7 linked regions of the Macaca fascicularis genome follow. The protein of the gene in region 1 interacts with the protein of each later gene in a pairwise test. Links are inferred from orthologs where the notes say so. Each region holds a gene or a part of one and is shown in the gene's direction. Other genes may lie near its edges.

Evidence for each region.
Region 2: the proteins of NUTM1 (region 1) and SAMD4A interact in binary tests that used the Homo sapiens proteins (3 or more experiments, as listed by UniProt). The two-hybrid records come from large-scale screens. The link is inferred for Macaca fascicularis from reciprocal best matches to the Homo sapiens genes NUTM1 and SAMD4A.
Region 3: the proteins of NUTM1 (region 1) and LMO2 interact in binary tests that used the Homo sapiens proteins (3 or more experiments, as listed by UniProt). The two-hybrid records come from large-scale screens. The link is inferred for Macaca fascicularis from reciprocal best matches to the Homo sapiens genes NUTM1 and LMO2.
Region 4: the proteins of NUTM1 (region 1) and ZMYND10 interact in binary tests that used the Homo sapiens proteins (3 or more experiments, as listed by UniProt). The two-hybrid records come from large-scale screens. The link is inferred for Macaca fascicularis from reciprocal best matches to the Homo sapiens genes NUTM1 and ZMYND10.
Region 5: the proteins of NUTM1 (region 1) and CCHCR1 interact in binary tests that used the Homo sapiens proteins (3 or more experiments, as listed by UniProt). The link is inferred for Macaca fascicularis from reciprocal best matches to the Homo sapiens genes NUTM1 and CCHCR1.
Region 6: the proteins of NUTM1 (region 1) and FAM161A interact in binary tests that used the Homo sapiens proteins (3 or more experiments, as listed by UniProt). The two-hybrid records come from large-scale screens. The link is inferred for Macaca fascicularis from reciprocal best matches to the Homo sapiens genes NUTM1 and FAM161A.
Region 7: the proteins of NUTM1 (region 1) and ZNF277 interact in a two-hybrid assay, tested with the Homo sapiens proteins (2 studies listed by BioGRID). The two-hybrid records come from large-scale screens. The link is inferred for Macaca fascicularis from reciprocal best matches to the Homo sapiens genes NUTM1 and ZNF277.

Annotation. Positions count from the first base shown.
Region 1 is NC_088381.1:10,645,633-10,648,138, forward strand, and holds the end of NUTM1 (NUT family member 1), read left to right. Parts: coding exon 1-1,762; 3' UTR 1,763-2,006; downstream 2,007-2,506. UniProt on the Homo sapiens protein: Plays a role in the regulation of proliferation. Regulates TERT expression by modulating SP1 binding to TERT promoter binding sites.
Region 2 is NC_088381.1:122,421,576-122,425,625, forward strand, and holds the start of SAMD4A (protein Smaug homolog 1), read left to right. Parts: upstream 1-1,250; 5' UTR 1,251-1,452; exon of another isoform or gene 1,453-2,480; intron 2,481-2,621; 5' UTR 2,622-3,042; coding exon 3,043-3,238; intron 3,239-3,414; exon of another isoform or gene 3,415-3,518; intron 3,519-3,631; exon of another isoform or gene 3,632-3,665; intron 3,666-3,818; exon of another isoform or gene 3,819-3,990; intron 3,991-4,050. UniProt on the Homo sapiens protein: Acts as a translational repressor of SRE-containing messengers.
Region 3 is NC_088388.1:31,709,523-31,713,579, forward strand, and holds the start of LMO2 (rhombotin-2), read left to right. Parts: upstream 1-1,257; 5' UTR 1,258-1,409; coding exon 1,410-1,416; intron 1,417-1,539; coding exon 1,540-1,765; intron 1,766-4,057. UniProt on the Homo sapiens protein: Acts with TAL1/SCL to regulate red blood cell development. Also acts with LDB1 to maintain erythroid precursors in an immature state.
Region 4 is NC_088376.1:113,378,520-113,382,805, reverse strand, and holds the start of ZMYND10 (zinc finger MYND domain-containing protein 10), read left to right. Parts: upstream 1-1,486; 5' UTR 1,487-1,628; coding exon 1,629-1,720; intron 1,721-1,981; coding exon 1,982-2,090; intron 2,091-3,353; coding exon 3,354-3,470; intron 3,471-3,587; coding exon 3,588-3,641; intron 3,642-3,759; coding exon 3,760-3,897; intron 3,898-3,997; coding exon 3,998-4,086; intron 4,087-4,185; coding exon 4,186-4,286. UniProt on the Homo sapiens protein: Plays a role in axonemal structure organization and motility. Involved in axonemal pre-assembly of inner and outer dynein arms (IDA and ODA, respectively) for proper axoneme building for cilia motility.
Region 5 is NC_088378.1:141,510,780-141,514,867, forward strand, and holds the start of CCHCR1 (coiled-coil alpha-helical rod protein 1), read left to right. Parts: upstream 1-1,288; 5' UTR 1,289-1,921; coding exon 1,922-2,164; intron 2,165-2,369; exon of another isoform or gene 2,370-2,435; coding exon 2,436-2,502; intron 2,503-2,580; coding exon 2,581-2,794; intron 2,795-4,088. Other genes in the region: TCF19 (transcription factor 19), read right to left, coding at 1-47. UniProt on the Homo sapiens protein: May be a regulator of keratinocyte proliferation or differentiation.
Region 6 is NC_088387.1:60,064,820-60,069,086, forward strand, and holds the start of FAM161A (protein FAM161A), read left to right. Parts: upstream 1-1,467; 5' UTR 1,468-1,486; coding exon 1,487-1,669; exon of another isoform or gene 1,670-4,267. UniProt on the Homo sapiens protein: Involved in ciliogenesis.
Region 7 is NC_088377.1:153,813,481-153,816,980, forward strand, and holds part of ZNF277 (zinc finger protein 277), read left to right. Parts: intron 1-623; coding exon 624-712; intron 713-983; coding exon 984-1,066; intron 1,067-3,500. UniProt on the Homo sapiens protein: Probable transcription factor. Involved in modulation of cellular senescence; represses transcription of the tumor suppressor gene INK4A/ARF, perhaps acting via the Polycomb group (PcG) complex PRC1.

The DNA of each region.
Region 1 (2,506 bases):
CCCCAGAGGGATGCACAGGGATGGGAACACTCTGCCATCCCCCAGCAGCTGGGACCTGCAGCCAGAGCCTGCAGCTCTCCAGGGAACTCCGGGACCCTTGGGTATGGAGAGGAGAGGGTCTGGGAAGGTTATAAACCAGGTATCGCGACTTCGAGATGGCCATCTAGGAGGTGCAGGGCTGCCTGGGCGCTGCCTGGTGGCTGATAGGACTTCAGAGGCTCTGCCCCTTTGTTGGCAGGAAGGCTTCCAGCCTGACAGCACTCCCAGTTTGGATGCTGGACTTGCAGAGCTGGCTCCTCTGCAGGGACGAGGGTTAGAAAAGCAGGTCCTGGGATCGCAGAAAGGACAACAAACGGGGGGCCGTGCAGAGCTTCCTCAAGGGAAGGAGCCTTTAGCAGTGTCCCAGGAAGGCTCTGCAGGAGCCATGTGGGGAGATGACAGAGGTACCCCCATGGCTCAGAGTTATGATCAGAATCCTTCCCCTAGAGCAGCTGGGGACAGGGACGACGTCTCTCTCAGCCCAGGACTTTGGCTGAGCGGTGAGATGGCTGCTGTAGACTTGGAGCTGCCCGTACACACAGAGGAGGTCATAGAGAGCTTCCAAGCGGAGGCGTGTGTAACTGAGTGTCAGGAAGGCTGCCAGGCACTGGGCTCCAGCAGCAGCATTTCCCTGGGTCCTGGAGAAACCATAGTACCTGGGGGTATGGAGAGCAGTGTGATTCCTTGTGGAGGCACAGTTGCGGCAGCTGCCCTAGAAAAGAGAAACGATTGCAGCTTGCCAGGACCTTTGAGGGCCAACAGCCCAGCCTTGAGGTCCAAAGAAAATCAAGAGCAGAGCCGTGAAACCACAGGGGACCCCAGTGATCTGCGGGCAGGAGGCTGCTTCCCATTGCTGGAAAGCAGAATTGGCGGTTCCACACTGGGGTCTTCCAAAGAAACCCTTCTGCCCACATGCCAAGACAGTGTCCTTATCATGGGGACCGAGGATGCCTCCTCCTTGCCTGAAGCCAGCCAAGAGGCAGGGAGCAGAGGCAATTCCTTTTCCCCTCTGCTGGAAACCATAGAACCGGTCAACATACTAGGTGTTAAAGATGACTGTGGCCTCCAACTAAGGGTCAGCAAGGACACCTGCCCATTGAATGTTAATTCTTGTGACCCCCAAGGAGGAGGCAGGGTGGATCCTGACCTGTCCAAGCCTAAAAACCTTGCTCCTTTACAAGAGAGTCAGGAGTCTTACACAACTGGGACCCCCAAAACCTCATCTCACCAAGGCCTTGGAAGCACTTTCCCTAGATGGGGAACCAGGGACGCCATAGTTCTGAGAGAGACTTCTGTTACTAAAACACGCAGGTCAGCAGATAGGGCCAAAGGAAAGGAGAAAAAGAAGAAGGAAGCAGAGGAAGAGGATGAGGAACTCTCCAACTTTGCTTACCTCTTGGCCTCTAAACTTAGCCTCTCACCAAGGGGGCATCCTCTCAGTCCTCACCATGCCTCAGGTCAGGGCAGCCAGAGAGCATCCCACCTGCTCCCTCCCGGGGCAAAAGGCCCCAGCAAACCTCCATGCCCCGTTGCCAAGTCTGGGAAGCGAGCTCTAGCTGGAGGTCCAGCCCCTACTGAAAAGAGATCCCACTCAGGAGCTCAACTTGGGGTCCCCAGGGAGAAACCCCTAGCTCTGGGAGTAGTTCGATCCTCACAGCCTCGTAAAAGGCGGTGTGACAGTTTTGCCACAGGCAGAAGGAAGAAACGACGTCGTAGCCAGTAGGGAGCAGCAGGACCATCTGACCCCACTTGCCAGTCCCTAAAGGTGGGTGCCCCAGAGTAGATTCCAGCCCTGCTGCCCACCAGTGGAGATCCCAATGTTGAATCTCATCCCAATGTTGTTTTGTTGTTCTGCAAAAGTGGCAAGCATGGAGAGAGAGGTCAGACTGGCTAGGCTGCAGGGGGAGTCACCTTTGGAAGCAGCTATAGAGAAAGAAAACGAATAAAGTGTTTTTGTTGGAAAATGCTCTCAAAGTGCCTTTTTCTGTACTCATGTCTTTGCTGCTAGATAGGGTAAGATGTTATAAAGAAGACTGTAGGGGTAGGTCTTAGATTCTACAAATCCATAGAGCTTACCTTGTCTCCAGCCTTATCTTGGCTCCTTGCAGCCTCCTCCTGGCAACCGACTGGCTCTCAGGCTGTGATAAGTCCCCAAACTGAGGAATCTCCAATGATTGCTTTATACATCCCCTCTTCACAAGCCTGGACTTGGTGTCAGGAAGGCTTATCTGGGCATCTTTTAATTATCTGCCTCCCTTTAAGTCTATAGATAGAAAGATGCTTTTCTACCTGTTAGATCTCTGAGACAGAGATCTAATTTTCTTCTTTTTTTGAGACAGGGTCTCGTTCTGTAGCCTAAACTACAGAGTGCAGTGGCGTAATGATGGCTCACTGCAGCCTCAACCTCCTGGGCTTAGACAATCCTCCCATCTCAGCCTCCCAAGTAGCTGGGACTACAGGTGTGCAC
Region 2 (4,050 bases), about 110 Mb from region 1:
AGTGGATTAGCAGGAGTAGGAAAGGCTGGTCTGAAGCACACGTTTCATTGCCTTCTCAGAATTACTCCTGTATAAACAAAGCCTCAAGTTGCTGGAGGGAGCAGTGCTTCCTCTGAAATCACGGAGATAGACCAGATTTAGTCATCAAGTCCTCCTTGCGATTATTCAACCCATATCAGGAGGTACAGAGGTTTTTAGGGTTTAGTGTATTTTTAACCAAACCTTTACTTGCAAGACTATCAGGCACTTTCGCAGCCCACCCTGCACCACTCAGCCTTGGCGCCGCGCCCTCCTCGCCTCTCACGCGGCAAGGACCTGAAGCCCCCGTGTGGCCGCTGCCGTGCGTACTCTCCAGATCCAGGTGAAGCTTGTGAGGTCTGGCGACGCCTGAGCGCCGACAGGTGGCCTCGCCCCGCCTCTTTGTCGCCCAGGGCGGCGTTCGCCTACGCTCCAGGCCCGAAGCCGCAGCCCGCGCGCCAGGCACGGCTCCCCCGACCGGTCTCAGGATTTGGGCCGCCTCCCCGGGGAAGAGTGGGACTCAGCCAGGCACCGGGCCGGCCTCTAGGAGCCTGCGCCAGAGGAAAGGGCATCTGGCACCCGACCCGGGCCAGGCCCTTGGACTAGGGCGGCACGGAGCCCAGCGCCTGGGCACGTCCAACCCTGTGCATTGCCCCTCAGCCTCTTGAACCCTTCGCCTCCACGATCCCCGGAAACCATCCCAGCATCTGCTGCAGTGACCTCGGGTCTCACCGCCCGCGGGCCACACAGCTCGGCCACCCCCGGGCCCCAGAAGGGCCGAGGGTCACCCGAGCTGACGAACCACATTCCCAAGGACGAGCAGCGGGTGGCAGCACCGCCCCCGCACGAGCGCCCTCGGGTCCCTTTCTGTCGGGGCTCGAGTGGCTTGAGTGTCCCGGCCCCTCCAGAATACGCAGGCGGCCGCGGGAAGAAATTCACCCGGACCCGTCCTCTTCCCCGAACTTCTTCGCTCCTCTCCGAGGTTCCTTCTACCCGACCCCTCTGCGCCACCAGCTCCTCCCACTCCGCTCCCCTCCCCTTTTTCTGGTCCCCACTTAGGAATCCGTCCCCCCTCCCTGCGCCGGGTCCGGGGTTCTTCCCCCCGGCTCCCCCCGCGTGCCGTCGCCGCCGCCCGGGTTCCTCTCCCCCCGCTCGGGCGCTCCCTGCCAAGCCCATGATGTAATGGTGTATGTTAATCAGTAGCATGTGGGGAGCTCCGGCTCGGGCGACTCAGTCCTCCGCGAGCCGACACTGGAGGCAGCAGCAGCAGCGGCTGCGGCGGCCCCGACTCGAAGCGCCGCACTCTCCCCGCGCCGCCCGCCCCGACGGCATGGCCGGCGGCCCGCGCTCCGGGCGCCCCCAGCCCCGCTGAGAGCCGCCGCGGTCCCGGACCCGCGCAAGGGCCCCCGTGCCGCCGGGATGAGCCGCGCAGAGGTGAGCGCTCCCTCCCTACGGCCCTCGGCGGGGGACCCGCCGGTCACTGGGGTCCCCTCCCCGGGGGCTTCCCCCTCCGCCCGAGAAGTTCTGGGAGTCGGAAGCAGCGTGTTGTTGGAAGCGAGTCGCCCCTTGAAGGCTGAGCCGCTGTGCTCTTCTCCCCGCCGGCGGCGGCCACCAGAACCGAGATGGGACTGGGGGAACCCCCGCAGCCGAACTTTCTTCTTTGCTGTCTTTGGGGGGCGTGTGCCTGCGGCGTCGATTCGCATTCCCCGCGAGGCCGCCCCGCCTGCCGCAGGGGGTAGCGCTGCGGACCCCGGCAGTCCCTGCGCGCGGCGTGTGCCCGGGGCTGTGCCACCCTCGGCCTGCGACGCGCGGGCGAGGCGCCGGGCCGGACAGACCCGCCCGTAGGCGGCGGCGGCAGGATGCCTGCCACACACGCGCGCACACACACGCACACGCGCGCGCACACTGACCACTCCGGCCAGAGCAGGCCCTGAGAGACCTCCCGGGTGGGCTGGCGCGGCGCGGTGCGGGGGAGCCGGGGCTCTGGGTTGCGCCGCCGCCCGCTGGGCGCGGAGCTTTGGGTGGGGAGAGTTTATTTTTGTCTCGAGCTGCTGCCGCGGCTGCTCACGGCCTAAATCCAGAGGGGCGCCTGGCGGTGGAGATGCTGGCTGTTGCTGTAGATGGAGCTGCAGCCACTCGGCTGCTTCTCTGGGAGGAGGAGGAGGAGTAAGAGGAGGAGGAAGGAACTCGGGCTGCCGCTGCCTCCGCCTCTGCTTTGCATTAGCTCCCACCCCCACCCCCGCGCCCCTTCGCAGCCGCATTGCAAGTTTTCTGCGCGGGGAAGATCTGTTGCTGGTGCTGGCGTTCGCAGGCACGGCGCCCGAGGCCACCCCGGGCGGGGCGTGAGGGGAGCACCAGCCGTTGGCAGCGGCAGCAACAGGAAGCCGCGGGGTCTCCTCCCGCACCTGGGAAGCAGGCTTTTCGCTATTCCCCAGCCGGGAATAACCCATCTCCCGCATCGGGTGCGGAGGGGGCGGCCAGATTTCGGGGAACCCAACCTTCCGCGGGACGCCCCCACCCCCGACCCCCTCTGATGCCCTGGTCCCCCAGGGCGCGCTCCTCCGCTGGCCGAGGTCTCACTGCAGCTCTTTTTCTCCTTCCAGTGGTGATCGCCGCTCGGGAATGCGGGCGTGAAGGGTCCGAGCTGCCGCCCAGTGGGGAGGAGACCCCAGGACGCCGGAAATCACCATCCCGAAGCTGCAAGAAGGGGGGAGAAAGCATTCTTCATTCAGTTGTGTGCCTTGTGGGGGATTTTTAAAAAGTCGTTATTTTTTTTAAAGAAACATTTCCGTGCTACTGTCTGTCATCGTCTCTGGGGAAATCAGCCAGAACCACCGGAACGTAACTGAAACCAGACGAGAGAGGCGGGAGCCCAGGCAGTACCTGCAGCGTCCGGGCACCAGAGCCACCTTGGAACGGGAACGCGTCTCCGGCTGCGGGGCTGCGGCTCCGCCAAACTTTGGGGCGGGCGGGGCGGTCTGGGGCGCCCAGGGGGCTCTGTAGACCGAGGGCGGCCCCCTAACCATGATGTTTCGCGACCAGGTCGGGGTGCTGGCGGGCTGGTTTAAGGGCTGGAACGAGTGCGAGCAGACTGTTGCGCTGCTGTCGCTGCTCAAGCGCGTGAGCCAGACCCAGGCCCGCTTCCTCCAGCTCTGCCTGGAGCACTCGCTGGCCGACTGCGCCGAGCTGCACGTCCTCGAACGCGAGGCCAACAGCCCCGGTAAGTGCGCGGCCGCCACCGTCCCGCCCGCCCCTCGCTTTCCTGCCTCGGGCCAGGCCGGGGCCCGCCCCCGCCAGCCGCTCCGCCAGGACCCGGACCGCGCGGCCCCCGAGGCCCTCGCAATCCGCTCCCTCCTTTACCCGCCCCCCCTCCCCGCCCACTTACCTCCGCCGGCCGCTTTGGGGTTTTGTCCACTGTGAACTCCATCAGCCCCTTCCGTGTGGTAGCTACCGTAGCATGAATGATTGATTTTTCTCTCATGCAGTTTCCTGGGAAATAAGTAAGTCACGTCACGTAGAGTCTGGATTTTCTGGGTGTGTGTGTTTTTTCCTTCCTCCTTCTTCTTTTGGGCAACGTGGCTCGCTGGATTTCAGCAACACATGATAGATGCCCGGGACTGCCCTTCAGAAGCCAGGCTTGGATAAGGCTGTGTGGGGAGTACATGAAAATCCAATTTTATTATTCGGTTTTCCCCACGGATATTCTGGTTTTAGAGCTTCGTCTTCAGAATAATATGCAGGTGACGCTACAGACTAGTAAAATGACATTTGCAGTATGTGTATTATGGGGTTAAGCTTACCGCTCGTGACATTATCCATATTGATACAGATCTTGTAGAAAGGGTCTTGGAGAAAGGACAGGCATGAAGTGGGTTCCCTAATGCTTCTCGTCAGGAAACTTTACTGAATAGAACAGAATCGTTTCATATTACCCTGCTAGTATTTACAGACACCTCAACTAGTATGGAAAGTGAATATAGTCGAAAGGTCCAGCAGTTTCCTATTTGCTAGCGTGGGTGGTGACAGACTGAA
Region 3 (4,057 bases), on another chromosome or scaffold:
TACCATCTTTCAGGGTGAGCTCATCCAGGCCCATGTGCCATCTTGAAAATGGGAACAAAAATGTATGCCTATGATCCAGACTGATCATATAAAACTATGGATCCTGAAAGTACGTTCCCTCTTTGCAAGCCTTAGTGACTGGCATCACGCACAAATAGGCCTTTCAGTTTCTGAACGCAGATATTTTCAAGGACCTCTGAGGCCCAGGAGAGACAAACGTTTTCTCCATGGAAGGGCAGACTATTGGCCTCCCCTCTCTTACCCTCTGTGTTCCTACCTCTTTCTAGAAGGAGGCTGAGAGGGGAAGCCTGAAACCCCAAATCAAGTCCGCCTTCTTTCTCTGTGCCTGACCCAGGGCAAAATAATCTCCCTAATACTGTTCTGGATCACTGGAAAAAACACTTTCTCTGGTCGGGGTACTACTGGCACTTTACATGGGGGGCAGTTTAACCGCAGGAGTCCGCTCTCTGAAAGGTGCTGAGGGAGGGGATTCCGACACCAGCCTACTGAGAGGAGCCCTGGCCCCACGAAGTCCCTCCCAGCCACCCTCCCTCTGGGATTAGCTGCCCTGACTCTGCTCAGGCGTCCCCAGCCCGTGCAGTCCCGGCTCGCGCACCCCCATCGCCTCTGCAGAGCGCGGCCGCAGCCTGGAGCCCGCAGCCGGTAGCCCGCAGAGCCGCGCTGTCCGGGGCATCCCGGTGCTCGGCGTCCGTGGACCTGGGATCTCGAACCTGGGACGGGCTCAAAATCCACTCGGAACACTTGCATTTCTGTAGGTGCTTATTTCACATTCTTGTTTTTTCTTGCTTGCTCGAGCTGTTCGTGGGTTACTTTCTGCCTTAGTTAAACCAAAAGGGAAAGGCTGAAGGGGGGAAGCCCTGAAGAATTATTTAGTGGCTGCCCAGCCTCCTCTCCAAGGAGAGGTGTTAGCTGAGCGGATCTCCCCGTCCCCGACACTGGCCCCTTTAAGAAGCCAAGTCAGTCCTGATGCTGCTGTTTGTATTGCTAATCCCCAGGAGCCCCGTTAAAAAAAAAAAAAAAAAAAAAAGAAGAAGAAGAAGAAAAAAGGGGAGGTGGGGGAACCGGGCAGCTGTCTCTTTAAATGTGATTTCCTTCTATTGTATTTGAATCGTGATCAGGAAAAAGGAAATGAAACCAGAGACAGAGGGAAGCTGAGCGAAAATAGACCTTCCCGAGAGAGGAGGAAGCCCGGGGAGAGACGCACAGTCCCCTCCCCGCCCCCAGGCCGCCGCCCCCGTTCTGCCCTCCGCGGCGAGCAGCGCCCGCTACCCGGGCCGAAGGTGCGAGGGGCTCGGGGCGGCCGGGCGGGCGTGCACCATCCCCGCGGGCGGCGCGGAGCCGGCGACAGCGCGCGAGAGGGACCGGGCGGCGGAGGCGGCGGGACCGGGATGGAAGGTTAAGTCCTGAGCAGCAGCAGCAGCTGCAGCCGCCCAGGGCCAGGCTGCGCGCCCCGGCCCCCGCCTCGGCCGCGGCGCGCCCGCAGCCCGGTGATTCGCTCTCTCTCTTTGGCATTTGAAGGGAGCGCGGTGACTGTCCTTGAGCGCGGAGGGGCGAGCTCGCCGCCGGAGCGCCGGAGCAAGCGGAGGCGCAGGAGCGGCGGCGGCGGCGCCCGAGCACCCGAGGGGGTCCGAGCCCCGGCAGCCGGCCAGCCCCGCGCCACAAAGGGAGCGCCCCTGCCGCCCGGCACGCCGCCTCCCTCCCCAATGTCCTCGGCCATCGAAAGGAAGAGCCTGGACCCTTCAGAGTAAGTGCGGCGCCCCTGCCCCTGCCACCCCCGGTGTCCACGGCCTCGCGTCCCGGAGCGGCTGGGGGACCCGGGCGGCCCTCGAGGGGACTCCAGGTGCGCGCCTGCGGCGTGCTCTTGGCCCCCTGTGCGGAGCGCTGGGCTCCCTCTTCCTCCCGGGTGACTTCGGGGGCGCTGGGAGAGGGACTGGGCGGTGGGCGGCAGGGAGAGGGGTCGGCTCGGCGCCTCTGCGGGCCACTCCAGGCTATCAGGACGCTGCCTAAAGCCACCGCGGGCCAGAAAGTTTGCACGGGAGCAGGCACAAGGGGAGCCTGGCGGCGTGCAGGTGCAGTCCGGAGAGCGTTCCATGCTTGACTCGGCTCCCTTCTCACCTCTCCTTCTCGGCCCTTTCTCTTTGTCCATTTGGTCTTGGAAAGGGGAACATTCCAAGTGGAGGCCTCCAGGGTCCCCAGCGGCCGCCTCCCCGGTCCGCAGGTGGAGCCGCTGCCAGCCGCGCGGGTAACGGGCGGGTGAGGGGTCCGACGGTCCACCTCGGAGCTGGCTCTGGGCCTCCGGGGATTTCTAGAGCAGCGAAATCCGGAGTAAATCTGAGTACGTGTAGCCCTCCTCGGGGTCCACCGATGGGGGCCTGTGAACCTCGAAAGTTAATGCACCATTTTGTGTACAGGTGAATTCTTCTAGGGAGTAGAGTCTCGTAGTTTTTAGCATAGTCTCAAAAGCGTTTGGGGTCAGGGAACCAGAGCTCTAATGAGCATTGACCGCATCTGTTTTCTGAGCCTCGTACTGGTTTGGAATGTTTTTCTATCTCTCACCAATTCTTTAGTGTTAACATGGGTAGCAAGGGGTGTTTAAGATATCATTTTCCTGTCAACGCAAATGCCCTTTTAAGAGTCATTAGCTGTCTGGTTTTGAGAATTTTTATTCCTTTGAAGTCCCCCTCTAATCCTTTGAAGGGATTTGTTACACAAGACCAAAGGAGCTGGTTAATGACTTGTCCATTTGTGCTTTTAAGAGACATTTGTTTTGTTTTTTCTTTTCCTGGTTTAAAAGAATTGTGCTTTCCTGCTTGAAATACCGCACACACACACACATACACCCTTCAATTTCGGCTTTCTATGGTGTTTATTTACCTGGGTTTTACCCTCAGTTAGCAGCATAAAAGCTCAGCATGTTCTCATAAAACACAGGAAGTACCACCATCCAATGAGAATATAAACATCACTATTCCGTCTTGAAGGTTAAGACACCAGTTCTGTAATGAGCTAGGTTTGTTGTAGCAAAAACCCCCACTTCCTTCAACAAATTCTCAGGAGAAAAATAACATTTCTTTTTAAAAGTATGTTTATGTCAACAATGGGTTTAAAGGGTGGTTTGATCACTTTTTTAAAAATAAACTTAAAATTACAACTGAGCTTTGAGTTTCAGAGACTGGGCAAGATCATAGTAACACAATAAGGGAGTGAATTGGATGAATTGGTGCCTCATGCCTTTTTGATCAGCAGAATTTAGTCACTAATCCTTTCAATAGAAGGTAAATCTGAAGGTTTCATTTCCCTGAAGGAAGTTTGCGTCTTTCAAAGTTTGTGCTTTTTCACTGAGGTTAGAAAACTGAAACATCCTAACTTCCTAACACAGCAGGTATCTACTGCTGGAGGCTCACCAGCTCCTTCCTTCACTTCACTATTTGCCCAGCGAAGATAGTTTCTGATCAAAGAGGGACAAGCTAGTTGAGAAATTGCAGCAGCACATTCTCCACCCCCTTAGAAATTGTTATGATTATCCCAGAAATCCAGGCTGAAGTGATACTCAGGTGTAATATTCAAGATAAGGGTCTGGGAGAATATAAAATATTAATTTGAGGGTGAATCAACCTCATTCATTGTCTTGGATTGCCCACTAAGTATAATGTGATATTATCAATTAATTATAGAAAGACAGAGCCAATATCTTATACTTTACTTCTCCATCTCATCTCAGGCCATCACCATAACTCTTTTACTTTACGTTCCTCCTGTTGTCCAGTATCCTACTAGATGCTTCATTGTGTACTTCCTCAAAGCCGACTTGGGTCATTACAATCAGCATCTCCAAATTACAGATGGAGACTTGCCTAGCTATATGCAAATGAAACATTTGGACAGAAAGCCAGCCAGAATTCATGAACACAGAGATTCCCTTGCTATGCCACTGGTGGCCCCCACTGCCTCCCCTGTGAGTAACAAGAGCAGTTCATTTGAATTCCAGGCAGTTTTGCACCAGCTAAGGGCAAATTATCCTCTTTCACAGTCCTTT
Region 4 (4,286 bases), on another chromosome or scaffold:
TCCAGCCTGGGTGACAGACTGAGACTCTCAAAAAAAAAAAAAAAAAAAAAAAAGGGGGTTGGAGGCAGGGACTGCTCTGGATTAAACGGCCAAGAAAGGCCATACTGAGATGTAAACTGAGCCCTGAAGGAAGAGTATTCCAGGCAAAGTGCAAAACCCTGAGGCAAAACCTCTTTGGAATGTATGAGGTAGGTCCAGGGAAGAAAGGAGGAGAGGAAAGAATCCAAGTCCCGAGGTACAAGACAGGCAAGAAGTAGGTCTTGCAGAGCTGCTGGTAAGCAGCACCCGACCTAGCATTTTGAGGGCCAGAGGTAGTTGCAGAGCCCCTCTCATGTGAGGGAATGATGCCTATACACTTTTTTTTTTTTTTTTTTTTTTTTTTTGAGACAGAGTCTCCCTTTGTTGTCCAAGCTGGAGTGCAGTGGTGGAATCTTGCCTCACTGCAAACTCCGCCTCCTGTGCTCAAGCGATTCTCCTGCCTCAGTCTCCCGAGTAGCTGGGACAACTGGTGTGTGCTACCACACCTGTCTAATTTTTGTACTTTTTTTTTTTTTTTGAGACGGAGTCTCGCTCTGTGGCCCAGGCTGGAGTGCAGTGGCCTGATCTCAGCTCACTGCAAGCTCCGCCTCCCGGGTTTACGCCATTCTCCTGCCTCAGCCTCCCAAGTAGCTGGGACTACAGGCGCCCGCCACCTCGCCCGGCTAGTTTTTTGTATTTTTTAGTAAAGACGGGGTTTCACCGTGTTAGCCAGGATGGTCTCGATCTCCTGACCTCGTGATCCGCCCGTCTCGGCCTCCCAAAGTGCTGGGATTACAGGCTTGAGCCATCGCGCCCGGCCTAATTTTTGTACTTTTAATAGAGACAGGGTTTCACCATGTTGCCCAGGCTGGTCTCAAACTCCTGACCTTAAGTGATCTGCCCGCCTCGGCCTCCCAAAGTGTTGAGATTACAGGCGTGAGCCACCGCGCCCGGCGTGATACACACTTTTAAGGCTCCGGGGCTGTCCGTGAGGATCAAGCGTGGAAGTAAGTCTACAGAAAAGGCTGCCGCAGTTAACCCACGACAGGTGATGACAGTCTGGACATAGGGAGGATGGAGAGAAGTCGTGCGCCCTGGCAGTATTTCAGGAGCCAACTAATGGAGCCGGGACGCGAGAAACAGAGGAATCAGGAAGCCATAAGGAGGAGGTGGAGCAGCGGGTGGGTCAAGATGCCGCAGCAGCAGCAGGAGGAGCTCGTGGGGTCGGGGTTACCCCCATCCCCGTGCAAGCCGACTTGGCGTCCGAGGGCAGAGTCCAGACCACAAGGAACTGGAGCTCAGGAGAGACTCGTGGTCCACATCGCGAGAAAGCTGTGGGAATCCAAATACTGTGGCGATTGGCAGCCCCGTAGGCGAGGCGGGCTGGAGACCCGCCCGGATTTAGGCGCGAGCCACCTCCAGGGGCGGAGCCCAAGCCGCACTGCGCAGGCGCGGCTAACCCGTTTCCATGGCTGCGAGAACTCACGCTCCCCAACCGTCCCACAACTGTCCTGTCCCAGACTTTGGCACCGTCGGGGTCCGTCGTCCCCGAGTGTGTCAGCATCCCCACCCCGGCTGCTGCCCAGGATCCGCCGGACCCCGGCCTCGATATGGGAGACCTGGAACTGCTGCTGCCCGGGGAAGCTGAAGTGCTGGTGCGGGGTCTGCGCAGCTTCCCGCTACGCGAGATGGGCTCCGAAGGGTGAGGCACCCGGGTCAGGCGGAGTCACGGAGTCATTGTCCCTGAGTGGGGGAGCTGGAGCCTGACATGGGGGGAGGGGCTGCCCAGTGTGGAGGGGCTCCCAAATGGGGGAGCAGAGTGTTCCGAGACAGGAATATAATTGTTCCTGAGCCCCCTGTGTCCCCTCAGGATCAGGTTAGGCTTCAATAGGATCCAGCCCCCATCCCCACTCCAAATGCACACACGTGGACCCACATGCACTTACACAACCCTCTGAGGCAGGTGGAACCAGCAGCACGAGAACCTGGAGAAGCTGAACATGCAAGCCATCCTCGATGCCACAATCAGCCAGGGCGAGCCCATTCAGGAGCTGCTGGTCACCCATGGGAAGGTACCCCGAGGTCACAGGCAGGGTTCCTGCCTTCCCCCATACCTCACCTACTCTAACCCTCAGGAGTCCCCTGTGTGCTTTTCCCCTCTGGCCTGGTACACCTGTCCTCCCTGAAGGGGAGAGAGGAATGTGTTACATGTTTCATTTTGTGTCGCTGTTGGACAGGACTCTGGCACACCAGGCTAGGTACAGGGCATGAGTTGATTAGGGAGAAAGCTGTAGGTCCTAAAACAGCTTAGGCTTCGAGGGGAAGGCCCAAATGCTAAAGGCATCTGTGAATTGACTGTAAGGCTGGGGAGGGGGTGGGGAGGGCAGGAGGGAGGGGAGATAACTTAACTGGAAGTAGAACTTTGGCATGGAAGGAGGCAGCCTTCCTAACATGAGAGGGGAAAGTTAGAAACCAATGAGATGGCTGGCTGGAACATGGACCAGGGAGTGTCACCAGCAGATGACCTGAGATATCAATTGACCAAAAAAAAAAAAAAAAAAAAAAAAGCCAGGCATGGTGGCTCATGCCTGTAATCCTAGCACTTTGAGAGGCCAAGACGGGTGGATCACCTGGGGTCAGGAGTGCAAGGCCAGCCTGACCAACATGGTGAAACCCTGCCTCTACTAAAAATACAAAAATTTGCTGAGCATGGTGGTGCACACCTGTAATCCCAGCTACTCGGGAGGCTGAGGCAGGAGAATCGCTTGAACCTAGGAGACAGAGGTTACAGAGAGCCGAGATCGTGCCACTGCACTCCAGCCTTGGTGACAAGAGTGAAACTCTGTCTAAAAAAAAAAAAAGAGTTCCTTTGCAAGAGAAAGGTGGAACTCATACAAGGGGATAGGATAAGAAGAACAGGGCACTGTGAAGGGTCCTGAGTAAGAGTGAGGCCAAAGGCACACAAGAGCCTTAGAGAACCACAGGACAGGGACAAGAGGGAGGGCATGAGCAGAAGGGCTGACTTGAAAGGGACGCCTGAATGGGCGGGGAGAGGATAACGGGGCAGGTGCAGGCAGGGCAAGGCAGTCTGGGAACTGGGCAGGAGCCAGTCACATAAGCATGAGGGACATCCACAGAGGTGTTGGGAGCAGCTGGAAACGAAGGTCCGAAATGCAAGAGAAAAGTCAGGAAGGATAGCCATGGGGTTTGGGATAGTTTAGGGGCCCAGCAGTGTTTGGGGAGATCTGGGCTGAGCTGAGCCAAGCTGGGGATGGGAGGGTTGCCAGGCAAAGGTAGGCCCATCTCATCCCTGTCCTTTACCCCATCCTTCAAAGGTCCCAACACTGGTGGAGGAGTTGATCGCAGTGGAGATGTGGAAGCAGAAGGTGTTCCCCGTGCTCTGCAGGGTGGAGGACTTCAAGCCCCAGAACACCTTTCCCATCTACATGGTGGTGAGCTGGGCCCCTGGTTCATACCTCCTCCCACTCCTTCAGAGGGCTCTGGACTGGGGAGGGGAGCTGGTAGCCCCTATCCCTACCACAGGCCCTGTCCCTCTCTTTGTCTGTCAGGTGCACCACGAGGCCTCCATCATCAACCTCTTGGAGACAGTGTTCTTCCACAAGGTGAGGGACTATCTCTGCCCATGGGCCACAGTTTCAGGTCAGGGCCTGGCAGGAAGGGAGGTTGTATCTGTGTGGGGAGGGCATCAGACACAGAAAGTTTCCCTCCCCCTTTCCCCAGGAGGTGTGTGAGTCAGCAGAAGACACTGTCTTGGACTTGGTAGACTATTGCCACCGCAAACTGATTCTGCTGGTGGCCCGGAGTGGCTGTGGTGGCCCCCCTGAAGGGGAGGGGTCCCAGGACAGCAACCCCATGCAGGTGGGTTGAGGTTACCTAGGATTGTGAAAGCCTAGGTCTGGGTTCCCCAAGGCCTGCACAGGCAAGGGTAGCCCAGCATGAACACTGTGTGACCTCGCAGGAGCTGCAGAAGCAGGCAGAGCTGATGGAATTTGAGATTGCACTGAAGGCCCTCTCAGTACTGCGCTACATCACAGACTGTGTGGACAGGTGGGCAGTCCGACTGGGCCTGGGCCTACCGTGGAGGGCTGGAAGACTGGGCCTGTAGCCTGCCTCTGCTCACCTCCTTCACAACGTCCCTGCCCCTAGCCTCTCTCTCAGCACCTTGAGCCGTATGCTTAGCACACACAACCTGCCCTGCCTCCTGGTGGAACTGCTGGAGCATAGTCCCTGGAACCGGCGGGAAGGAG
Region 5 (4,088 bases), on another chromosome or scaffold:
CCGCCCCTGCCGCCCCCGATGCGCAGCAGTTGGAAGCAGGGCAGCATGGGCGGTGCCCCCTTTGCACCACCTCTTCCACTTTAGGGATCCATTTCCTTTCCCACTCCTGGGCCACGCACCGCTGGCTTAAGTTCGCTTACCAGTCTGATGCAAACTTGAGTTGTGCTGTGTGCAGTTTCAACTTTGAGCACACTACCTGAATAGTCCAAATTCAGAGTGCAAGCAGCCTAGGACTCAATGCAGAATCGGTTGTTAAGCCGACTTGCAAATGAAAAATTCCAGGAAGGTCTCCGTGCAATGCAAACTCAGGACCACGTCCTGTGGCACCTCACTTGAGCTGGATCCTCAGGTCGCAAAATATCTGGGGAGCCTCCAATCTGCAAGGCAAGGATACTTTAGGCAGCTCCTGTGTGTGTCGGTGTGGCGGGGCGCGGGGGGGAGGTCCTGTTATACACACGTCTACGTGCAGTACGAACACATCACCTCTGTGTAATTCGGAGAAGAGCAGCTTCTTCCTGTCAAACCTGCTTATCCTAATAGAGCACTCCCGCTTGCCTGCGCCCCGATCTTCTGGCCAATCCCTCACTCATAACTAGTTTGAACCTCCGAGGGCAATGAATCTACTGTCATCCCCCAAAAGGAAGTGCAAACGAGTTCTTAAGTACTCCAACAAATTGGACCTAAACCCCTACTTCCCGGCTTCTCTAGGTGGGATAAAAACAGGAAGGGGCTCCCCGCGATCATGCAAGGCATACCCGGCCTTTTCCCTCTCGGCCCCAGCCCCGTTTCGGATCTACCAGCGCGGTGCAGTCTCCGAGTAGCCTCCTCTTCAAGCAGTGCCAGCCTGTGCCGCGGGTCCTGGGACCCCCTGGGCTCCTCTGCTGTAGCCGATACTGCTGCAGCTGTTTGACAGCCAGGAAGCCGGGGCCAGGAGGGGCGCGGCCTCGGCGCGCGGGCAGCGCCTACCCCTCCTTCGGAATTCCCGGGCCCGAACTTCGCGCCGAGCGAGCCCGCCCCCGTGCCGTTTCTGATTGGCCAGCTCATTTGCTCTCTTCCGCGCCATTGGACGGCTCCCTAAGATCTCCCGCCTTCCGCTTTTTCTGATTAGTTCACAAGTTTTCCCGGGTTCCCGCAGTGGGGAGGAGCCGCCTGGGCGCGGACAGGCGTCGACACATTCTGTGGGCCCAGATTTAGACGCCACTGCGCCTGCGTACACCTTTCCTCCTCCCTACAGGGAGATAGGACCTTAGGGCCCCCGCCTTGCGCAGGCGCGGTCAGAGGCCGAGGCAGAGGCGGGGCCCGGAGCGAGGCGTAGGGGGTGTGGTCAAGGCGCAGTAGGGGTTCTCGCGGTGGGTAAGGGACGTTCGGGAAGAGTCGGTTGTGGGCGGGAAGGGGTTGAGCGGGGGTGCTGGGAGGGTTCAAGGGGTCCAAAGGGGAAGGGGGAACAGGGGCCAGGTGAAGGGGTAGATGAGGAGATCAGAACAGCCTAAGAGCTCAGGGGCCAACTGGGTGAACAGCCTTGGGTATCTAGGGGAGCAGTGGGGGGAGAGCAGAGCCGGCTAGCGTACAGGGGGCGAGAGCAGACTATTGAGAGATGGGGGTGAGGGTGAGGACCAGAACAATTCCTTCAGAAAAAAGTAGATTAGGATGTAAAAAGGGACCGGAGTAGGGATCCCAGATTCGGGTAAAAAATAGATTAATGAGGGTGGGAGGGTGGGGGGAAGGTCTTAAAGTGCCCACTATGTGTTAGGACTCGAGAAAGAGGAGGCGGGCGGCAGGCATGGAAGCTGAGAGGATAGTAGAGAGAAGCTGAGAGGACAGCCGCAGTAAAGATTTGGATGAGATGTCAGGACGCTGGCTTTTCTGCCTGGGGATCTAGGCTGCTTGGATTCCCAAGGTCTTGGGAAGGGTCTAGCCCTGCATGTGGCCACATTCAGCTGGGGCCAGGCCTTGGGCCAGCACTTTAATAGGGAAGGACCCAAGAGTCATGGCCTGGTGGTGTCTGGATGGGATTCCCCCAGGCCTTGCTGAGCCATGGAGAGAACTCTGGAGATGGCGCTCAAGACCCCTGCACTGTGTACCTCCTTTCTCACCTCTGGCCAGGGGCAGCAGGGACCATAGAAACTTAAGGAGGAGGGTAAAGGCACTGCCCAGAATCCTGAAAGTATGAGTAAAGCCTCAGAGCCCCTCTCGGTCTGTCTTTTTCAGTAAATTCTCTCCACTTGATAGTTGCCTGGGTTCCCTGAGGAACCAGGTTGAGACAAGCAAGTGAATTTGGGGTATCTCCTACTTCTTTGGGGAAGTAGGAAAAGAGCTGAGCATCGGGTGGACCTGGCTGTAATTCAAGGATTATGACTTGGTTATTGTAGGGGCTTTCTCTTTGGAAGGTGGCCTGAAAATTGAATTGGAGTGTCTTTGTTTCTCCTATTGTCCAGGGGAACATAGATGGCTGGAGACAGAATCTAGAGCCTTCAAATAATGTGGAGATGTTTCCACCTTCAGGTCAGTGGGACCAGACAAGGGGAGTGGTGGTTGTCTCTGCCTGGGAAACTGACCATCTTTGATTTTGTAATTCTTCAGGTTCCACTGGGCTGATTCCTCCCTCCCATTTTCAAGCTCGGCCCCTTTCAACTCTGCCGAGAATGGCTCCCACCTGGCTCTCAGACATTCCCCTGGTCCAACCCCCAGGCCATCAAGATGTCTCAGAGAGGCGACTAGACACCCAGAGACCTCAAGTGACCATGTGGAAACAGGATGTTTCCAGTGACAGGCAGGAGCCAGGGCGGAGAGGCAGGTAGGGATCCATCCTCGCTGTTTTCTCAGGCTGGCTTGCTAGTGACCCTTCTTCACTGGAATAAACTCCTTACCCTATTTCGGCCCTAGTTTCCAGAACCTACTCATTTTTATGCAAGCAATTATTAGTTCCTGCAGTGCTTAGATAATAAAGCAGTGTGCTAGGTGCTAGGGATGAGGATAACAATAATGAATAAGACAAATCCTGACTTAAATTTGTAATTAATAAGGAATCTAAAATCCTAAGAGGGGAGATAGATTGACCATCAACTGATGGTAAAGCATAGTATGAGGCAAGATGAAGAAGTGCAAACTAGAAGTAGAGACCCAGGACTGTGGCAGTGTGGGTTCATTCTGATGGAAGAAAGCCTTTACAGAGGACATGCTATGGGAGCTGGCCATGCTGTCGTATTGTCTGTAAACATTCTTATTCTTGTTGTTTCATGTGTCTTCCCAGATGTACTGGGATATCATTCTGCCATTTTGCTCCAGAGTAGGATTACATTAGAAGCAGCAGCACGATGAAGAAGAAGGAGCACTAGACTGGGTGTCAGGAGACAGAGACTCTCTTTCTAGTTTGGCTACCAGCTAGAGGACATTTGGCAAGTCAATTTCCCTAGCCTACAAATCCCTGATACTTAAAAATAAATGAAGAAAATAAAGAAAAGGCCAGGTATGGTGGCTCACACCTATACTCCTAGCACTTTGGGAGCTGAGGCAGGAGGATCACTTGAGCCCAGGAGTTCAAGACCAGCCTGGGCAACAAAGTGAGACTTCGTCTCCACAGAAAATAATTAGCTAGCTGTGGTGACATGCATTTGTAGTCCCAGCTACTCGGGAGGCTAAGGTGGTAGGATCATTTGAGCTCAGGAGTTGAAGGCTGCAGTGACCTATGATCCAGCCACTGCATTGAGGCCTGGGTGACACAGTGATACCCTGTCTCTAAAAACAACAACAACAATCTCCTGTGGTCCTGGGTGTCAGAGAGACAGCTGCCTCAGGAGCCACGTTCCAAGCTAGATTAAACTTCACGTGATATTGGTAGACAATGTCTCCAAAGGCTGGCACTATGTTATTTATGTACTGTTCTCTCAGACTCCTCATAAAGTATACCTAACACTCAATAAATGCATTTTAACTAGCACCTGGCCTCACCATATTGATACTGGAAGCTCAGCTCTCTCTATGCCCATTCCTCCCTCAAACTTCTTGCCCTTAAATCAGAATTGAGAAGTCTCTGTTCTTCCAACCTTTCCACTTAAAATGTGTGGCCTAAAAATAAAAAATAAATAAGA
Region 6 (4,267 bases), on another chromosome or scaffold:
TTTATAATTCATGTGCTCTAATTCCTTATCAATACTTTTTTGTTGTTGTTTTTGAGACGGAGTCTTGCTTTATTGCCCAGGCTGGAATGCAGAGGCAAGATCCGGGCTACCTGCAATCTCCGCCTCCCGGGAGGGCGCCTGTAATCCCAGCCACTCCGGAGGCTGAGGCAGTTTTGTAGCCACAAAACTGGCTGCCGTGACTGACTGGAAATTGCTCCCCTGGACACTTGGCCATACCTGGCGGTCCATATCCCATGGTTCTAGCTCTGGCTTCTGCTTAGAACCCAGCCAGCATCTGTTCCAGCACTGGAAGGAACTGTTTAGCCAAAACAAAGAGCAGCCTGAAGGAAGTGGGGACGTGGGAGACTTTGCTGGTGCTCACACCCATACAGGAGAACAAAGGTTTGGTAAGGGCTCAGACCTTAGAGATGGATTCTCGACGATGTGCAACGCATAACGAGGAAAATACTGACCGGAGGGGGCCTGTCCTAGGGCTGGGGAGCGGGAGGAGGGCAAAGGATAGAGAGGGGTAGATAGGGAGGGAGTAGATAGGGAGCGGCAGCCTCGGCCTCAGTAAGCAGGGGCTTATGGAGCAGATGCCTGAGACTGCACCACGTCCGCTATTTTGAGGTTTGGCTTCTCTTACGACCACGTGGTGCAGAGGGAAGGCGCCATTTGATGCGTCCAAATCCCGAGTGGAAAGAGAAGATACGGATGAGGGAGATGGGTGTGTCTGTGATGACTCTTGGGCACTCGCGCCGTTCAATCCTGTCACTCTCAAGCTGATGAACCCAAAGCAAACGCCAGGTTTACACTACCTGCACCCTCACTCATTAGTGGGAGGGTCAGGCACCACCCAACTCTGGGCTTTTATTGGTCAGGCCAAGAAAAACGCGAGAGGGACAACCGGGAGCCTCCTTCTGATTGGTGGATTCCTACTAGCCCTCAAGTAAATCAGAGTAGAATGCACCTCCCTCCTTCCCACGCTGGCTCCCGCGGGAGACATGTTAGGTAGCGCGACGCCAACCTTGCCACTCTTCAGAGGCCGCCACCCAGTAATACGCCCTGCTTTCCTCCTCCGCCGCCGTCTCCTCCATCAACCGTCTCCTTCTAACATATTATTGCAGTTAATAAAAAAGCGCTCTTTTCTTCACAAAAGCAGTTGTTTCATTGTATAATGTGAGAAGTCTGCGTTCAGGCGGTTAAACGCAAAGGAGAGGAAAAGTGCCCTGTTCAGCCTGCCAACCTTTGGAACCAGCAAACAGACTCGGTACTGACCGCCATGATCCAGTAAGCACCCGACTCGGGTCTCTGGCAGCCTGAGAGGAGTTTGTGTGACTTTTGGTCCCTGGCGGCTCCTGTAGTGTCCCCAGTTACGGCGCCCATAGCAACCGGCTCCCTAGCTAGGAGCCCCCGGGTCGCCAGGGACCGCACCAGCTTTCCCGCCCCGGGCCAGCGCAGGCGCTCAGGTCCCGGAGGCGGGGCGATGGCCGCCTCCCACCGAGCGGCAAAGCTGGTGGCCTCCAGTCTCCAGACTCCTGTAAATCCCATCACTAGAGCGCGGGTCGCCCAGTACGAACGCGAAGACCCCTTACAGGCCCTGGCGGCAGCAGAGGCGATCTTGGAGGACGAAGAGGAGGAGAAAGTGGCGCAGTCCGCTGAGGCGTCGGTAATACTGGGGCGGGACGTGGGTTGGGACCTCGCACGGGCTGGGTGCTGGCTGAGGGCTGTCCGGGTCCCCGCCCAGCTGAGGGCAGGCTGGTAAACGCGGGACCCTGTGCACATACTCCCTACTTGGTGGTCCTGGCCCAGCCCCTTCTCTACGCTCACGAAAAATACTCTAAATCGAGGCGTTGAAAAGTGTTTTAATTTTCACCAGAGAGTCAGTTGTAAAAGTTTCCTAGACAACATTTATGTTACTCTGTTTCTGGCGAGTGCAAAGTATAGAATTTTACTCTTTACTCTCTAGCATCTCGGGAATGGATGGATAGATAGATAGATTTTATAATTTGAGGAAAACTGTTCTGTCAGGTGTGTTTCGTTATTACCTTAAGATCTTGGTTATAAGTGGATCTCAACATAATGCTGGAGAGAGGCGTGTTTAAAACCATCACGTGTTCACTGGCTAAATCAGACACGGATACAGATAAGCAAATCACTGAGGTTTCAGTGTTTCCTAAACGGCTCCTTAGGGTACAGCGAGACAGCCTTTTCACTGATCAGTTTTCAGTGTTAAATCTGTTGTGGACACCAGTCTAGCAGGTGGAGGGCAGGGTCTGCCATCTGCTCTATTCACTTAAAAGATGGGAATCTTGGCTGGGCGCGGTGGCTCGTGCCTGTAATCCCAGCACTTTGGGATGCCGAGGCAGGCAGATTACGAGGTCGGGAGTTCGAGACCAGCCTGACCAACATGGTGAAACCCCGTCTTTACTAAAAATACAAAATTTAGCCGGGCATGGTGATGCGCGCCTGTAATCCCAGTTACTCGCAAGACTGAGGCAGGAGAATTGCTTGAATTTGGGAGGCGAGGGTTGCAGTGAGCTGAGATCTCAGACCCAGTCTCAAAAAAAAAAAAAAAAAAAAAAAAAAAAAAAAAGGAATCTTGAATTTAAACTAGCAATCTGCAGATAGAAAAAGTTTCTTTTTTTTTTTTTTTTTTTGAGACGGAGTCTCGCTCTGCCGCCCAGGCTGGAGTGCAGTGGCCGGATCTCAGCTCACTGCAAGCTCCGCCTCCCGGGTTTACGCCATTCTCCTGCCTCAGCCTCCCGAGTAGCTGGGACTACAGGCGCCCGCCACCTCGCCCGGCTAGTTTTTTGTATTTTTTAGTAGAGACGGGGTTTCACCGTGTTAGCCAGGATGGTCTCGATCTCCCGACCTCGTGATCCGCCCGTCTCGGCCTCCCAAAGTGCTGGGATTACAGGCTTGAGCCACCGCGCCCGGCCAGAAAAAGTTTCTTAATACCATGTGTCCAAAGCTTCTCAAACACAAAACTTATGATTGAGGACTAATTGAAATCCCTGGATATTTTGGAATTCTAATCTCTTTAATCTACCATAAAATTGTTAATGAGAGCATCTTTAGCAACACCTTTTGTGACCAGTCTTTCTCCAGTAAACAACTTGAAGTTATCCAGAGTAAGGTAGACTGAGACCCTGAATGTGAACCAGGATCAGAGTGCTAGGACTGATTTTGTTCATTATAACCTACCCCTCAACACAGTTTTCAGTAGGCAACAAGGCAGCGTGATGGAGAAAAACTATTTAAGAGTTACATATTAGGATCCATTCCCTGCCACTCCCTAGGTGGTGTTAGGACACACTTTCTTTAAATCTCGGTTTCCTCATCTGTAAAATAACTATAATAATTGTCTCTTTTTCCCATCTCAGCTCTATGAGAACCAAATGAAAGAATGTGTGTCTCCTCTAAAGAGCAATCTATATAAAAGAGTAATCTATATAAACGAGATGCCAGTGGGAGTGTCATTTGTGTGCCTTCCCAAAGATTAAACTACTTTGGCTTGCTGTGGGAAAGGAGTCAGTCACTTCTAAGTTGCAGATATGCTTCCAAAGTGCCCTGTTAAACTACAAATTTTTTTTTTTTTTTTTTTTTTTTTTTGAGACGGAGTATTGCTCTGTAGCCCGGGCTGGAGTGCAGTGGCCGGATCTCAGCTCACTGCAAGCTCCGCCTCCCGGGTTTACGCCATTCTCCTGCCTCAGCCTCCGGAGTAGCTGGGACTACAGGCGCCCGCCACCTCGCCCGGCTAATTTTTTGTATTTTTAGTAGAGACGGGGTTTCACGGTGTTAGCCAGGATGGTCTCGATCTCCTGACCTCGTGATCCGCCCGTCTCGGCCTCCCAAAGTGCTGGGATTACAGGCTTGAGCCACCGCGCCCGGCAACTGCAAATTTGTGTTAGAAACTGTTATTACCTTAGGAGGGATCAGTTTATACAATAATCTAGTATGGAAAGGACAGGATCCTACAAAAAACAGAAGGAATCCAAGTCTTAAGAATCTGATACTGTTCTGAGACCACCACACATGAGGGATCTAAAAGTAAAGCTGGGTAAGCTGCCACAGTGGGTCTGATAGCCAGGCGCACAGGGCTTGGGGAAGAGGCATTAAAAAGGCAGGAAGAGTGCAGGAAAGAGGCTCTGATTTCTTCACTGGTTGGCTTGGGTCTCCATCTTGATTTCTTTTTTTTTTTTTTTTTGAGACGGAGTCTCGCTCTGTCGCCCAGGCTGGAGTGCAGTGGCCGGGCGCGGTGGCT
Region 7 (3,500 bases), on another chromosome or scaffold:
AGGCTTTGGTTTTTAATTTAGCTGGTGTGCTGCTTCTAACTCTGCTCATTAGATACAAAAATTGTAAGTTGGGCTATTTTTCCAAAGTCTAAATTTGCCTCATTTCAGACTCAGTGTGGACATATGGAACTTTTCTATCTTATATTATATTGATATTGATTTTAGACTGGTTTCTTACTGCATTATTCTTCTGACCTCTGTTCTTTGGATATATAAGATAACCACTCAGTTTTCTCTTTATTGCAGAGTGTGTGTCATAGCCTATTTAATCATTATTGCATTTTAAAGACACATAAACTTAGATGCGATTTCAGAAAAATTCATTATCACATAAAAATATTTCATTTTAACTTTCCTATATGTCTGTTTATTGAATTTTGGGATAGTAAAGTTTGGTTGTTTTCATGCCCTTACATGGTAATTCCTTTTTATTAAATCTTTATTTGATACTTCTATAATGCTCCACTGCCTTTGTATTCACAAAAAACTGCTAGAAAAGCTGTTTTAAGTTAACATTTGATTTAATGCGTTGGGATAATTGAATGTGCTTATAGATTCCTGTCATTCTAAAGCAAATAGTGTATTGAATCTTCTCATCATTCCTTATTTTGTATTGTTCTAAGGTACATTTTATATTGGAGGAAAAGGTTCACTGAACAGCCTATCACAGATTTTTGTAGTGTGATAAGAATTAATTCCACAGCTCCATTTGGTAAGTGTACATCCTGGCTACCATCTTTTCCCTACAGTATAAAAATTCAAAGGAATAATCTTACTGTCTTATATTAGAATTGCTTTTACTTTCATGATAGAGAAAATTAAATTGATGTGTTTATTTTGCCTAACTCGAATAAAACTAAAACAGTTCTTTGCCAAAGAGATCCTAATAGACACACACATCTGTAATTTTTACGAAATAAGTCCTTCTGGGAAAAAAATGGTAAATATCTTTTGTCTGATTTGTTTTCCTGATCTCTCAACAGAAGAACAAGAGAATTATTTTTTGTTATGTGACGTTTTACCAGAAGACAGAATTCTTAGAGAAGAGCTTCAGAAGCAGAGACTGGTAAGAATTGTTTTTAAAGGGTGAATAGTGTCTTGAAAATACATATAAATACATATAAAATCTTTTTTTTTTCTTCTTTTTTTTTTTACTTTTTGTTATGGAAACTTTCACACAGGTAAAAGAGGAGACAATACAAAAAGGTCTTAAAACAGAAAAAAGTATACACTTGACTGAAAATTAAAGCATTTTATGTTGAAAATGCAGAGAGAATTTTTGGCTTTGTTTTGCTTCCTGGATTATCTCTAAAATAACAACAGAACTTACACATTTTAGTGTAATTTTAGCTGCCTGACACATGCTAGGGTTCAGTAGTCGTGGAAAAATGCCCTCAGCTAAAATTGAGTTGAATTGATTAACCTTTTTTTCTCCCCTTCACTGGAATGTGCTATGCACTAGCGTTTTTTTAATTTCCCTTTATGAATTAAGCATATGGTTTAATCTACATAGTAGCCTTTCTGGTTTTCAGCCTTAACCATAAGCAAGCTAATTTGAAAACCTCAGCATATTTAACCTTTAAAAAAGATGATAGCACATACAAGCATGAAAATTTTTATTTTATTTTATCTTATTTATTTTATTTATTTATTTATTTATTTTTTGAGATGGAGCCTCACTATGTTGCCCAGGCTGAAGTGCAATGGCGCGATCTCGGCTCACTGCAAGCTCCGCTTCGTGGGCTCATGCCATTCTTCTGCCTCAGCCTCCCGAGTAACTGGGACTACAGGCATCCGCCACCACGCCCGGCTAATTTTTTGTATTTTCAGTAGAAACGGGGTTTCACCATGTTAGCAAGGATGGTCTCGATCTCCTGACCTTGTCATCCGCCCGCCTCGGCCTCCCAAAGTGCTAGGATTACAGGCGTGAGCCACCATGCCCAACCGAAAATTTTTATTTCCATTAGTTCATCAGAAAATAATGTTTTTAATTGTTAATTTTGTTTAAAAGCACATGGGTTCTCATCATTTGTAATTTAATCTCGACTATTACTTGAGGTTGACTTGCTGTTCCTTTAGTGATTTCTCATAAATCTTTCTTGTATCTTTGGGCTTGGCTAAATATGTTATAAGAGAGAGATGATTTAAATATTTGTGCTATATCCTCAAGAGATCTAGGAGAAAAATAAATACTATTTACCATAGTCATATAATTTAAGAAAGTCCCTGGAAGCATGTTTTATTTTGTAGACATCCCAAATGATTTTTTATTCCAGTATGGGAAGGTGATACCGATGGATACTGATTTATATGTAAGAAAAGTTATGCTTTTCCTGTACAGCAACAGCAGTAAAGAAACAGGACTTCCTGAGTTTCTCTTCTCTCCTTACAGCAGTGTCTTATGAAATATGTAAAACAAGGGTAAATGTACTATCATGTCTTATGAATGTTATTTGTGTGCACTTATTCGTAATTTTCAATTTACATGAATTTTCTCACTGTTGCTAACCGTGGCCTTAAGAATGATCAAAAGCCATCAAGGATTGATTTATAAGAACTCAAACCCTACTACTTCAGCCATTCTTGTTCTTTAGTATGCAGAATCTTTACCATATGTCTGTAGATGGACTTAGGTCTCTAAAAATACCTACATATACTGCATTTAAGTTACCTTTTTTACTTTACAGTTTGATAAAGCAATACATTTAATAAAAGTGAGCATTATGCCAGCTTACAGAAACAAAATAAGAATAAAAAGGCAATTAATCCATACATGTTCATTGAATTTCTGCTTAAGTTAGATGCCTGTACAAAGAAGTACAAGAGTACAAGGCATACACAAGAGTGTATAGTCTGGAGAAGAAAGATAAATATGTATTCTTACCTTGGTAGTAGAGATAATGATAAAATATCTTGCTGGGCTTATGAAGATTAAGTGACATGTAATACACTTAGAACACTGCCTGGCACACGGAAGGCACTTAACAAATATTAGCCAATAAAAATAATAGTAATAATGCTGTGTCTTAACAATGAGAAGGATTTGGATAGTTAAGAGAGTTGTAGAGAAGGGAAGAAAGATACATATGCATCTAAATGTTCAAGGTGTATTCAGAAAAATCGAGTAAAAGTCTACTCTGGCTTAGGTGGAACATTTTTTATGGGGAGTAGTATAAGATAAATTTGAAGAGGTAAAATGGAGCTAAATTGTGGAAATCCTTCAGTGCCAGAAACTTGACTTTGTAGTAATAAAGACCCATTAATGTACCCTCATTGCCCATCAGTGGCATGAAGAAAAGAGTAAATGTAACTGTGTATAAATCCATTTCAAGCTGTCAAACCCTGAGAAAGATCAGACCAACTTGGGGATTGGAAGTAAGCTAACAATGACTGATGATCAGCCACAAGCCATGCCTTGTATTTGGTTCTTGCTTCATAGCACCCTGTGAGGTGGCTATTAAATGCCATTCTATTTATGAGTAAAATGTGGCAGCTTAAGG